Linked DNA regions of Oryctolagus cuniculus. The protein of the gene in region 1 purifies or fractionates together with the protein of each later gene. This does not show direct contact. Links are inferred from orthologs where the notes say so. Each region holds a gene or a part of one and is shown on either strand. Other genes may lie near its edges.

Region 1 (5,683 bases):
CCCAAACACTTGGGCCCTCCTGCACTGCTTTCCCAGGCTGTTAGCGGGGAGCTGGACCAGAGGCGGAGCAGCCGGGACCCCACCAGCGCCCGCGGGATGCCGTGTCCCAGGCAGCGGCTTACAGCGCTCCGCCGCGCCCGGAGTCGGGGCTTTGCCGGGGCGGGGGTGGGGTCTAGGGAGGCCGCCTTCACAGAGCCTGCCCTCTCCTGTGACCCGCACCCCAGGCCCAGCGCGGCCCCTGCCTTGGGGGCCCCCTGCAGCCAGCAGCTCCGTGCCCGTGCTCCGGGCCTTCGGCGTCACGGACGAGGGCGTCTCGGTCTGCTGCCACATCCACGGCTTCAGCCCCTACTTCTATGTCCCCGCGCCCTCCGGTGAGCGCCCCCGCCCCGCCGGGAGGCCCCGCCCCGCCGGGAGGCCCCGCCCCGCGGCCCTGACCGCCTCTCTCGCCAGGCTTCGGCCCCGAGCACCTGGGCGACTTCCAGCGCGAGCTGAACGCGGCCATCAGCCGGGACCAGCGCGGCGGGAAGGAGCTGGCCGGGCCGGCCGTGCTGGCCGTGGAGCTGTGTTCCCGCGAGAGTGAGTGGCGCCGCCGGGCCGGGCGGGGCGGGGCGGGCGTCCGGCCGGCCGGTCCCAGCGTCCTCTGTCCGCAGGCATGTTCGGGTACCACGGGCACGGCCCCTCCCCGTTCCTGCGCGTCAGCCTGGCGCTGCCCCGCCTCGTGGCGCCCGCCCGGCGCCTGCTGGAGCAGGGCATCAGGGTGGCAGGCCTGGGCACCCCCAGCTTCGCGCCCTACGAGGCCAACGTGGACTTCGAGATCCGGTACGGCCCTGCCTCCGCCCGGCCCCGCCCCCAGCCCCGCCCCCCGCCCGCTGACCCTCAGCGCTTCCAGGTTCATGGTGGACACTGACATCGTTGGCTGCAACTGGCTGGAGCTCCCGGCCGGGAAATACGTCCTCCGGCCGGAGGGGAAGGTGCGGGGCTCCCCGGGGGCGGGGGCAGGGGCAGGGGCGGGGACCTCCGCCGCTGACCCCGCCCCCCGCAGGTCACGCTGTGTCAGCTGGAGGCCGACGTGCTGTGGTCGGATGTGGTCAGTCACCCGCCCGAGGGGCAGTGGCAGCGCATCGCACCCCTGCGCGTGCTCAGCTTCGACATCGAGTGTGCTGGCCGCAAAGGTCAGTCCCGGGCCGGCAGCTAAGGGTGGAGAGGGGCTGAGCGGGGCGGGCGGCGGCGAGGCCGGGGCTGGAGAGAGGCAGCGGCCAGAGCCCGCTTCCTGTGTGCCCCCGCCTCCCAGGCATCTTCCCGGAGCCCGAGCGGGACCCCGTGATCCAGATCTGCTCGCTGGGCCTGCGCTGGGGCGAGCCGGAGCCCTTCCTGCGCCTGGCGCTCACCCTGCGGCCCTGTGCCCCCATCCTGGGCGCCCAGGTGCAGAGCTACGAGCGGGAAGAGGAGCTGCTGCAGGTGCCTCTCCCCGCCCCTCCCAGCACCCCTGCGCGGGACTGGGGTGCGGGCCATTCCAGGGTGTTCCCCGGGTGACCCCGCGCCCCCGCGCAGGCCTGGTCCACGTTCGTGCGCACCTTGGACCCCGACGTGATCACCGGCTACAACATCCAGAACTTCGACCTCCCGTACCTCATCTCCCGCGCCCAGACCCTCAAGGTGAGGGCGGGGAGGGGCGGCGGCTTCCCGGGCTGTGTCCTCGTCCTGGCCGGGGCCCTGCCCTGCCGAGTCCAGCGGTCCCTTGCAGCTGGTCAGAGGCGAGGAGTGTTGCTGAGGGACGGTGCCGGGTCCTCGGTCCCTTCCCCCTGCCCGGGTCCCTGTCCAGTCCCCTACAGCGGCCACCTTGAGCCAGACTTGCCCTGATGACCTGGGCTCGCCCGCAGGGACGCATCCCGGACAGGTCGCCCTTGGGAGGAGCCGGGGGTCAGACCCTCAGTGTCCTGGGGGGCGCCAGTGAGCCTGTGCTGCTGTCTGGCCGCTTGGGTCATGAAGAAGAGACCCCGGGGCCCCCAAGCTCCAGGGAGACCACACCTGCCGGCCGGGCCACTGCGCCTGCCACCCGGTGCCACTCACCTGGGGCCTCCCAGGCCCGGCCCTGCCCCCGGCCCGTCTCCTCCACGCTGGGCCCTCTACCCCGCTCTGCAGGGGTCTCCTGCTCCTCACCCTGCAGCCTGTCAGGCCCCAGCCCCTCCTGACCCCAGCCCTTCTGTGACCCCAGCCCCCTCCCTGACCCCAGCCCCCTCCCTGACCCCAGCCCCCACCCTGACCCCAGCCCCCTCCCTGACCCCAGCCCCCACCCTGACCCCAGCCCCTCCTGACCCCAGCCCCCTGCCTGACCCCAGCCCCCTCCCTGACCCCAGCCCCTGCCTGACCCCAGCCCCCTCCCTGACCCCAGCCCCTCCCTGACCCCAGCCCTTCTGTGACCCCAGCCCCCTCCCTGACCCCAGCCCCTGCCTGACCCCAGCCCACTGCCTGACCCCAGCCCCCTCCCTGACCCCAGCCCCTCCTGACCCCAGCCCCTCCCTGACCCCAGCCTCCTCCCTGACCCCAGCCCCTCCCTGACCCCAGCCTCCTCCCTGACCCCAGCCCCTCCCTGACCCCAGCCCCCTCCCTGACCCCGGCCCCTGCCTGACCCTGGCCCCCTCCCTGACCCTGGCCCCCTCCCTGACCCCAGCCCCCTCCCTGACCCCGGCCCCTCCCTGACCCCGGCCCCTGCCTGACCCTGGCCCCCTCCCTGACCCCAGCCCCTCCCTGACCCCAGCCTCCTCCCTGACCCCAGCCCCCTCCCTGACCCCAGCCCCTCCCTGACCCCAGCCTCCTCCCTGACCCCAGCCCCTCCCTGACCCCAGCCCCCTCCCTGACCCCGGCCCCTGCCTGACCCTGGCCCCCTCCCTGACCCCGGCCCCTCCCTGACCGCGGCCCCAAGGCAGCCGCAGGGTCCCCGTGCGCTCACCTGCGGACTTGCGCCTCCGCCCCCAGGTGCCGTCTTTCCCGTTCCTGGGCCGAGTGGCCAACCTCCGCTCCAGCATCCGGGACTCCTCGTTCCAGTCGAAGCAGACCGGCCGGCGGGACAGCAAGGTGGTCAGCATCGTGGGCCGCGTGCAGATGGACATGCTGCAGGTAGGCGGGGGCCGGCGCCCAGCCCCGGGAGGCCGCGCCCGGGCCCACACCCAGCGCCGCCCGCCCCCCCCAGGTGCTGCTGCGGGAGCACAAGCTGCGCTCCTACACGCTCAACGCCGTGAGCTTCCACTTCCTGGGCGAGCAGAAGGAGGACGTGCAGCACAGCATCATCACGGACCTGCAGGTGCCCGCGCCCTCCGACCCCTGACCCCGCCCCCGCCCCGGGCCACCCCGGCCTGGAGCCCCCGCGGCCCCGCCCGACCCCGGCCTGGAGGCCCCCCCCACCGCCCCCGCGGCCCCGCCCCCGTCCACCCCGGCCTGGAGCCCCCGCGGCCCCGCCCCCAGCCACCCCGGCCTGGAGCCCCCGCGGCCCCGCCCGACCCCCGTCCTCCCCCCGACCCCCACCCTCCCCCCGACCCCCACGACCCTGCCCCGCCCCCGTCCACCCCGGCCTGGAGCCCCCGCGGCCCCGCCCTGACCCCGGCCCCGCCCCCGTCCACCCCGGCCTGGAGCCCCCGCGGCCCCGCCCTGACCCCGGCCCCGCCCCCGTCCACCCCGGCCTGGAGCCCCCGCGGCCCCGCCCGACCCCCCCGGCCGTCCCGCAGAACGGGAACGAGCAGACGCGCCGCCGGCTGGCCGTGTACTGCCTCAAGGACGCGCTGCTGCCGCTGCGGCTGCTGGAGCGCCTCATGGTGCTGGTGAACGCCGTGGAGATGGCGCGCGTCACGGGCGTGCCGCTCAGCTACCTGCTCAGCCGCGGCCAGCAGGTCAAGGTCGTGTCCCAGCTGCTGCGGCAGGTCAGTGGCCCGGCGCGGGCGGGCGGAGCCCCGGCCCCCAGGGCCTGCCCGCCCCGGCCCAGCCCCGGCCTGCTCACCGCGGCCCTCCTCAGGCCATGCGCGAGGGGCTGCTGATGCCCGTGGTGAAGACGGAGGGCGGCGAGGACTACACGGGGGCCACCGTCATCGAGCCCCTCAAAGGGTGAGGCCCAGGGCGGGGCGGGGGCGGGGCGGCCGGGGCGGGGGCGGGGGCGGGGGCGGGCGGGGCGGGGGCTCCCGGCCCTGACCCCCGGCTCCTCCCCAGGTACTACGACGTCCCCATCGCCACCCTGGACTTCTCCTCGCTGTACCCGTCCATCATGATGGCCCACAACCTGTGCTACACCACGCTGCTGCGGCCCGGGGCCGCCCAGAAGCTGGGGTAGGCCCTCCTTCCCACGGGCCCCGGAAGTGCAGGGGCGGCCCGGGGGGCTGCGGTGCTCACGCCTGAGACTCGGGGCTGAGAGGGGCCGCACCCCTGCCCCCGCAGCCTGAGCGCCGACCAGTTCATCAGGACGCCCACGGGGGACGAGTTCGTGAAGACGTCCGTGCGGAAGGGGCTGCTGCCCCAGATCCTGGAGAACCTGCTCAGCGCCCGCAAGAGGTGGGCTCCCGGCGGGCGCCGTCCCGGCTCGTGGCTCCGACTTGGGGGTGGGGCTTCCCGGCGGGGCCGCCCCCTCGTGGCCGGGTGTGCATTCCCACAGGGCACCCCCAGCCGGTCCCGCGGCCCCGCGCCGTGCCCGCAGCGTCCCCAGACCTCAGCAGCCTTTCCCCGCCCCCTCTCAGGGCCAAGGCCGAGCTGGCTCGGGAGACCGACCCCCTGCGGCGGCAAGTGCTGGACGGGCGGCAGCTGGCGCTGAAGGTGAGCGCCAACTCTGTGTATGGCTTCACCGGCGCCCAGGTGGGCAGGCTGCCGTGCCTGGAGATCTCGCAGGTGAGCTCTGCCCCAACCCAGGGCGGGGCGGGGGGGGGGGGCATGTGCATCACGGGGAGTCGATCGCCTGCCCCCTGGGTCCCGGAGTGGGGCGGAGGGTGGGAGGCAGCTGCGGGGCCCTGGGGACGAGGGAGGGATGGCAGGGATGGAGGGAAGCGTGCTCAGGGTGCAGCGGGCGGTGTGGACTCCACAGTGGACGACGTGGGGTCCAGGGCAGCGCCCGGGAAGGGAGCGGTTCTGCTGCTTGGCCGCGCTCACGGGAGGTCCCCTGGCCACTTGTGCCCAGCCCCCCTCCCTGCCGGCGGGGAGCCCTTGGCCGTCGTGGGAGTGGGCGCTGGGGACGGTGAGGGCCCTGTGAAGGCGCTCAGCCGTGGTTGGCCGAGGCGGCTCTGAGGATGAGCCCACGGTCCGCGGCGACTGTGCTGCGTAGACAGAAAGATCCCCAATGAGGCCGCGGGCCTGGCCGTGGCGGGCGCGGAGGGCAGGACCTGGGACCCAGCAGCCTCTGCGGCTGTCCCCACCGGGGTCACGGGGACAGCGCTCGCTCTCCCTGCACCGGCGAGGCTGCCCTTGGCCTGCTGCCAGCCAGGGCGTCCAGGGTTCTCCCCGGGGCTGGGCAGGCAGGCACGGAGCGCCCACTGGCGCAGAGGTCACGCTGACGCTGCGTGGCCCGCGGCCCCCACCTCAGGGGAACAGATGCTCTTATCAGGCAAGGAGTGCCGAGGGCTTCGGGTCCCCTCCGCGGAGCCAGGCAGGAGCAGGCCCTGCTGTGGGCGGGGAGACTCCCTTCCCGTGCCGCACGCCCAGCTCACGCCCG
Region 2 (5,683 bases), on another chromosome or scaffold:
AAAGCTAAGAAGGAAGCCCTGTCAGCCTTTGCTTCGTTGCCATTCAGTTACAACAGGGCAATACTATGTGCAGCTGGAGACTTTAGCTCAACACATAGACCTAAATCGTGGGTAATCTTCCTGAGGCCCATGAACCATTTCCTGGCTGTCTGAGAATCTATATCCATAGAACTCTTTTTTTTTTTTTTTTTTTTTTTTTGACAGGCAGAGTGGACAGTGAGAGAGAGAGAGAGACAGAGAGAAAGGTCTTCCTTTTGCCGTTGGTTCACCCTCCAATGGCCACCATAGCCGGTGCGCTGTGGCCGGCGCATCGCGCTGATCCGAAGCCAGGAGCCAGGTGCTTCTCCTGGTCTCCCATGGGGTGCAGGGCTCAAGCACCTGGGCCATCCTCCACTGCACTCCTGGGCCACAGCAGAGAGCTGGCCTGGAAGAGGGGCAACCAGGACAGAATCCGGCGCCTCAACTGGGACTAGAACCCGGTATGCCGGTACCACAGGCAGAGGATTAGCCTATTGAGCCGCGGCGCCGGCCCACAGAACTCTTAACTTGTTGAAAGGCAGCTGGATCCTCCAAGGAGAAAAATTACTTACCAGAGTCTGCAGAGAATCCAGCTTGGCACTGAGAATCTCAGAATCCACCTTCTCAATTAGCAGGGGCAGCAGGAACTGTGAGAGAGAAGTTGAGCCTGAGAGGTAGTGTCACAGTCATATCAAGGAGCTAAACTCCAGTCAGGAATTGTGTCTGTGCCAGAGCACCAGACACCAAAAAATGAGCAAGACAGCAAAGGTACAAAATTTCAAAAAGATTACTATCTTAAAGGAAGAGAAGATAAGTTTTCTATACCAAAGGCCTAAAGATACCTTCCACACAACACACTCGCAGGATGTCACATTCTAAAACATTACCAGATCTTTTGTTTACCCCCATGCTTTCACTGTTCTTTCTTAGAAAAACTTTTACTGTTCTTTCTTCTATGTGCATGGGTTAAATACCCTCACCCCGCCTAAACCCACCTCAGCAAATCGTGATGTAGAAGCCAGCACAGCTCGAAGACTCAGGATGAGATCCTCTCTCTGGATTCCATGGGGATCATTAGGTGGCTGGAAAAGAGAAGGGCCATGGGTTTGTATAACTCTTCAGAACACTCCTGGGCACAGACTTGAATCTGCCTACTCTAGCTCACACCAAACTCTGTCTTCTCCGAATAACTACAGTACTACTCATTTTGGTATCTTAACTTCATAGTGCTCCTTAAATGTTCCAATCTCCAAAGGCAGGGGCCATGTTTTATAATCCTATAGTGCCCAGCACTGAGTACAATGGTTAAGGAGCTTAAGGAGGTCCTCAAATACATGCTGACTTGAAACCTTCCACTGATGTCAAATACTTCTCCATGCGCCTGTTTCCTGCAATGTAGATTCACAGGGGCAGTGATTGTTGTTCACCTGGACCCTCAGTGCCTAGAACCGGGCCTAGCATATGGCAGATACTCAACTAGTATTTGAATGAATGCAGGATGGTGTTTACTTACAGGGGTGAAATCAACAGGGAAATAGCAAGAAGTCACTTCAAACAACTCCTCCACAAAGGGTCCTGTAGCAACAGAGAATGAGGCTGACTGTCTAGCTTCATTTATTTGACAAACCCTAATCACCTAATTCACATCTACCAAGACATACCCAGGCTATAGTCCCTGGAGATGAGGTCATGGACGATACGGAAGGCCACCAGAAGATTACGGGGATCTTTTTCCCCATCCATCACCTGGATGAAGCCAAAGGTGAAGTCAGCTCCTAGGCCCTTTAGCTCTGGGAAGGAGAGAACAAGGTCACTACTGTTTCATGAGATAGGAAGCTTGGGGTTTCTCCGGGCTTGTGCTGTCCCTCTGCTACCACTGCCTCTCCTCTCTTGCCTTTCAGAGCAGATCCTTTTTGTTTTCCTAGTCCAAAAGAAGTACTTGGCTAGATGTGTAACGATGCACACACTGTTACAGAGGCAGGAGTTTAAAACAGTGCCTCAAACTAACTCTACTCTGCCTTCATTTCACCAGGGAGAGAGTGGTTCTCTAGTTTCTCTTTATCATTCTCTTGAAATCTCGGCTCTTCCATATAAACCCTAGACTAAAATGAGTTCCATTAATGGGGGAAAAGTATGACATGCTTGCTTTTGAGGTTTTCCAGAGAGCCCTGCCTCTTACCTTCTTCCCGGATTTGCATGAAGTTGGTGATGATGCTATAGACTGTGTGTCGGTCCACCTGTGGCAAGGACTTGGGGTGGGGACGGGGAAGTAGGTGAAAAACATGTTCAAGGAATATTTCAACTAACACAACTACTTTCTGCTTCACAGTCTCTAAGTATAAGGTCAACCTAACAGGAACTATAGACCTAGGGTATGGCTATTGCCTCAGCACTACGGTGGTGGTGCCAATAACCCAAACCCGTCTGAGGTTTGCCTTACTTTCTCTAAGTGCAAGACAAATGGCACACAGCCATCTCCATAGCTGGTGGCAAGGAATAAAGCATAAATATGGCCACAAGGCCTACAAGAGTTCACAACTTGGAGGGTAACACTTTCTGCCTTCTAATTCTAGTATATCAATGGGTTGGAGACAGAGAATATGAAGACGATTGTTAATCACTCACTTGTACGTGTACCTCTTGGAAGATGGCCTTAAGCACAGAGACGGCCAGCCCTGGGGGCAGGGTTACACACAGGCTCTGGAGGAGAAGGGAAGATAAATGAGCATGGCTTTCAAGACAAAGCTCTACAGTAGGCTTCACTAGCTACAGTGGGGAGCACAGCATCCTGGGTAACGAGGAAATGCTAATAGTGAGGGAGTTTCTCAAGCTGATTGGTCCTGTGCAGCTCCTTCCAGTTTGCTCTGAATTGCAGTGGCTCAAATGATAAAAAGCAGAAACAGGGCTACTAACATTAATGTAGTCCCACATTTGGTCCTCTACTCCTGTTGAGGCCTCACCTCCCCAAAGAGCAAGGACAGAACTGGACAGGGGGCCCCACTGTCACCAATAAGCAATGAAAAGAACTCACAAGTGCCCTCAAACCTTGCAGGACAGATGGGATCACAAGATGATGGTCCTTCAGTCGATTCTCATAGAATAGGATCAGGTGTACAACTGCACAAACCAGATTCAGCCGTTAGCTGACAAAGCCATGAGGAGGGCCCACTAGTTTGCTCCTTCCCTAAGTTTGTAAGGCTGTTTTAGTTTGGGATGCACTAAATTTTTCTCCTTCAAGAGATACCCCATGCCCCCTGAACCAAAGGTATTGACTTGATTAATCAGGAAAACAGAGGGACATCTCTTACTTTCCATTTTCACAAAGGTCCACAGTAAAATCAAACCCATTTGCAGACCCAGAACTGCCTAGCTACGGAACTGATGGCCACAAATTTCCCTCTTTCCCTCCCTCCCTCCGGAACTGATGCCCACAAATTTTCCTTCCTTCCTTCTTTCTGTTTTCTTTTCTTTTCTCTTCCTCCCTTCCTTCCTTTCCTTTTTCTTTCTCTTAAGATTTACTTATTTGAAAGGCAGAGTTAGAGAGAGAGAGAGGCAGAAGTAGTCCCTGAAAGCCATGTCTTAACGTCTTGATTCTAATCATCTGATACTTACACCAATGAGGAATGAAGACCCTGTGCCACCCCACCCCACCTTCCAAAATGGTTTGGATAGACACAGGAGGCCTTTGTACAGTAATCCAGGAAGCCATTCCTCCTAATGATGCCAGTACCTTCCTTCTCCAGGAGCAGAGAGTGACACTGGAGTAGCACCTGTGACAAAAGCTGGATCCCTCGTGCCCGAGTCCTGGGTTCTGGGTTCTCCAGAGAAGATCTGAAAATAGGAAGTAAAGAGAGAGTCTGCCATTACCCAGTTCAAACCTCTAAAGAAGTAAGTATTTTGCAATTAGTCAAACTCACCCTCTGCACATGGAAGCAAAGCCAAGTTCTGTTAAAAGAACAAGAGTCCAGGAAAAATGGTGCCCTCTAGTGACGCCTGATCCCCAGACTAACCAGGCATCAGCAGAGGCACTTGAGAGCCAAGAGAAATCTCACTTCCAGGTCCTCCCAGCTGGGTGCTGCATGGGCACTATGCTCCCTCTTTAACCCCAGTGCTATGATTGTGATGTTCTTTTGACACAAAGCTTAGCAGCTACACACAGCATTTCTGAGGTGACTGGAAGCTACTGCTTACCCAAGACAGGCAGAGAAGACATGTATTTTTGTAAGTTACCAAGGAAAAGATGCTGACAACAACCACAAAGGCCTAAGGGAAAAAGAAACAAACAAACAAACAAACAAAAAAACAAAACAAAAAAACCACAAAACTTTGCAACTGGAAGGTTACAGAGTGAGATGGCCAGAATAAAGGTTCTAACTGTGTTAGGCGATTGACATGGGGAATCCGGACTGAAGTGACAAGGTGGTTTGTCTTCAAAAGAGCTCTACAGAGATTATACTTTAACGTACTAGAAGTAGTTTAACCAGGAATGAGTAGGAAGCAGATTTCTGGAGGAGAGCTGGCCACACAGTTATGTTAAACCTCAAAGAAAATGCTAGATATCATCAGGAAAATTGGGGCCAAAATTAGATGACTCTAGTCAGAATGCTTAGGACATGAACTTATAGAAGGTTTCTACTCAGAAGTAGAAAAATGTGCATTCAGAGCATTTAAAAATGGAACAAGGCACATAAATGCTCATAGTAGCATTATTCAGAGTAGCTAAAAAGTGGAAATAATCTAGATATCCACTAACCAAGGAATAAACAAAAATGTGGCATATCTATACAATGGAATATTATTCAGTTAGGAAAGAAATGTAGCTGGGGCTGGTGTTGTGGTATAGCAGGATAAGCTGCCACCCATGACACTGGCATCCCACAGGAGCACAGATTCAAGTCCCAGGAGTTCTACTTCTGCTCCAGCTCCCAGCTAATGTGCCTAGGAAAGCAGAAGAAGATGGCCCAATTGCTTGGGTACCTTCCACCAATGTGAAAGACCCGGATGGAGTTACAGACTCCTGGCTTTGGCTTGGCTCAGGCCCTGGCATTGCAGCCACTTGGAGAATAAACCATCAGATGAAAGATCTCTTTCTCTCTCTGTCTCTCCCTTTCTCCCTTGTAACTCTGCCTTTCAAATAAAGAAATCTGTTAAAAAAAAAAAAAAAAAAAAGAAATGTGGAACTGATATACACTTCAACATGGATGGACCCTGACAACATGTTAATTGAAAGAAGCCCATTATGAAGGTCATATATTATATGAAATTTCCAGGTTAGGCAAGTCCATAGAGATAGTAAATGGGCCATACTCTGCTATCTTCCAGATGCATTAGCAGAAAAAGGGATTGGAAGCATGCAGCATCCAGGACTCAAATCAGACACTCCAATGTGGGATGCGGGCTTCACAAGTGGCAGGTTAACCTGCTGCACCACAATGCTCTTGCCAAAGCTGTTATTTATAAAAAAATGGACCTGGGGCTGATGCTGTGGTATAGCAGGTAAAGCAGCTGCCCGCGGTGCCGAAATCCCATATGGGCACAAGTTCAAATCAGGGCTGCTACACTTCCAATCCAGCTCCCTGGTAATACGCCTGGGAAAGCAGTGGAAGATGGCCCAGGTGCTTGGGCCCTGCCAACCAGGCAGGAGACCTGGAAGAAGCTCTTAGCT

Evidence for each region.
Region 2: the proteins of POLD1 (region 1) and MMS19 purify together in Homo sapiens (affinity purification with western blotting; 3 studies listed by BioGRID and IntAct, with this or other methods). This does not show direct contact. The link is inferred for Oryctolagus cuniculus from reciprocal best matches to the Homo sapiens genes POLD1 and MMS19.

Annotation. Positions count from the first base shown.
Region 1 is NC_091449.1:7,460,387-7,466,069, reverse strand, and holds part of POLD1 (DNA polymerase delta catalytic subunit), read left to right. Parts: intron 1-224; coding exon 225-371; intron 372-450; coding exon 451-576; intron 577-650; coding exon 651-819; intron 820-889; coding exon 890-971; intron 972-1,042; coding exon 1,043-1,172; intron 1,173-1,291; coding exon 1,292-1,458; intron 1,459-1,551; coding exon 1,552-1,656; intron 1,657-2,976; coding exon 2,977-3,117; intron 3,118-3,190; coding exon 3,191-3,301; intron 3,302-3,722; coding exon 3,723-3,914; intron 3,915-4,006; coding exon 4,007-4,095; intron 4,096-4,197; coding exon 4,198-4,314; intron 4,315-4,422; coding exon 4,423-4,536; intron 4,537-4,718; coding exon 4,719-4,866; intron 4,867-5,683. UniProt on the Homo sapiens protein: As the catalytic component of the trimeric (Pol-delta3 complex) and tetrameric DNA polymerase delta complexes (Pol-delta4 complex), plays a crucial role in high fidelity genome replication, including in lagging strand synthesis, and repair.
Region 2 is NC_091446.1:32,372,045-32,377,727, reverse strand, and holds part of MMS19 (MMS19 nucleotide excision repair protein homolog), read right to left. Parts: intron 3,850-5,683; coding exon 3,749-3,849; intron 3,136-3,748; coding exon 3,050-3,135; intron 2,719-3,049; coding exon 2,644-2,718; intron 2,268-2,643; coding exon 2,198-2,267; intron 1,809-2,197; coding exon 1,680-1,808; intron 1,594-1,679; coding exon 1,532-1,593; intron 1,101-1,531; coding exon 1,014-1,100; intron 666-1,013; coding exon 591-665; intron 1-590. UniProt on the Homo sapiens protein: Key component of the cytosolic iron-sulfur protein assembly (CIA) complex, a multiprotein complex that mediates the incorporation of iron-sulfur cluster into apoproteins specifically involved in DNA metabolism and genomic integrity.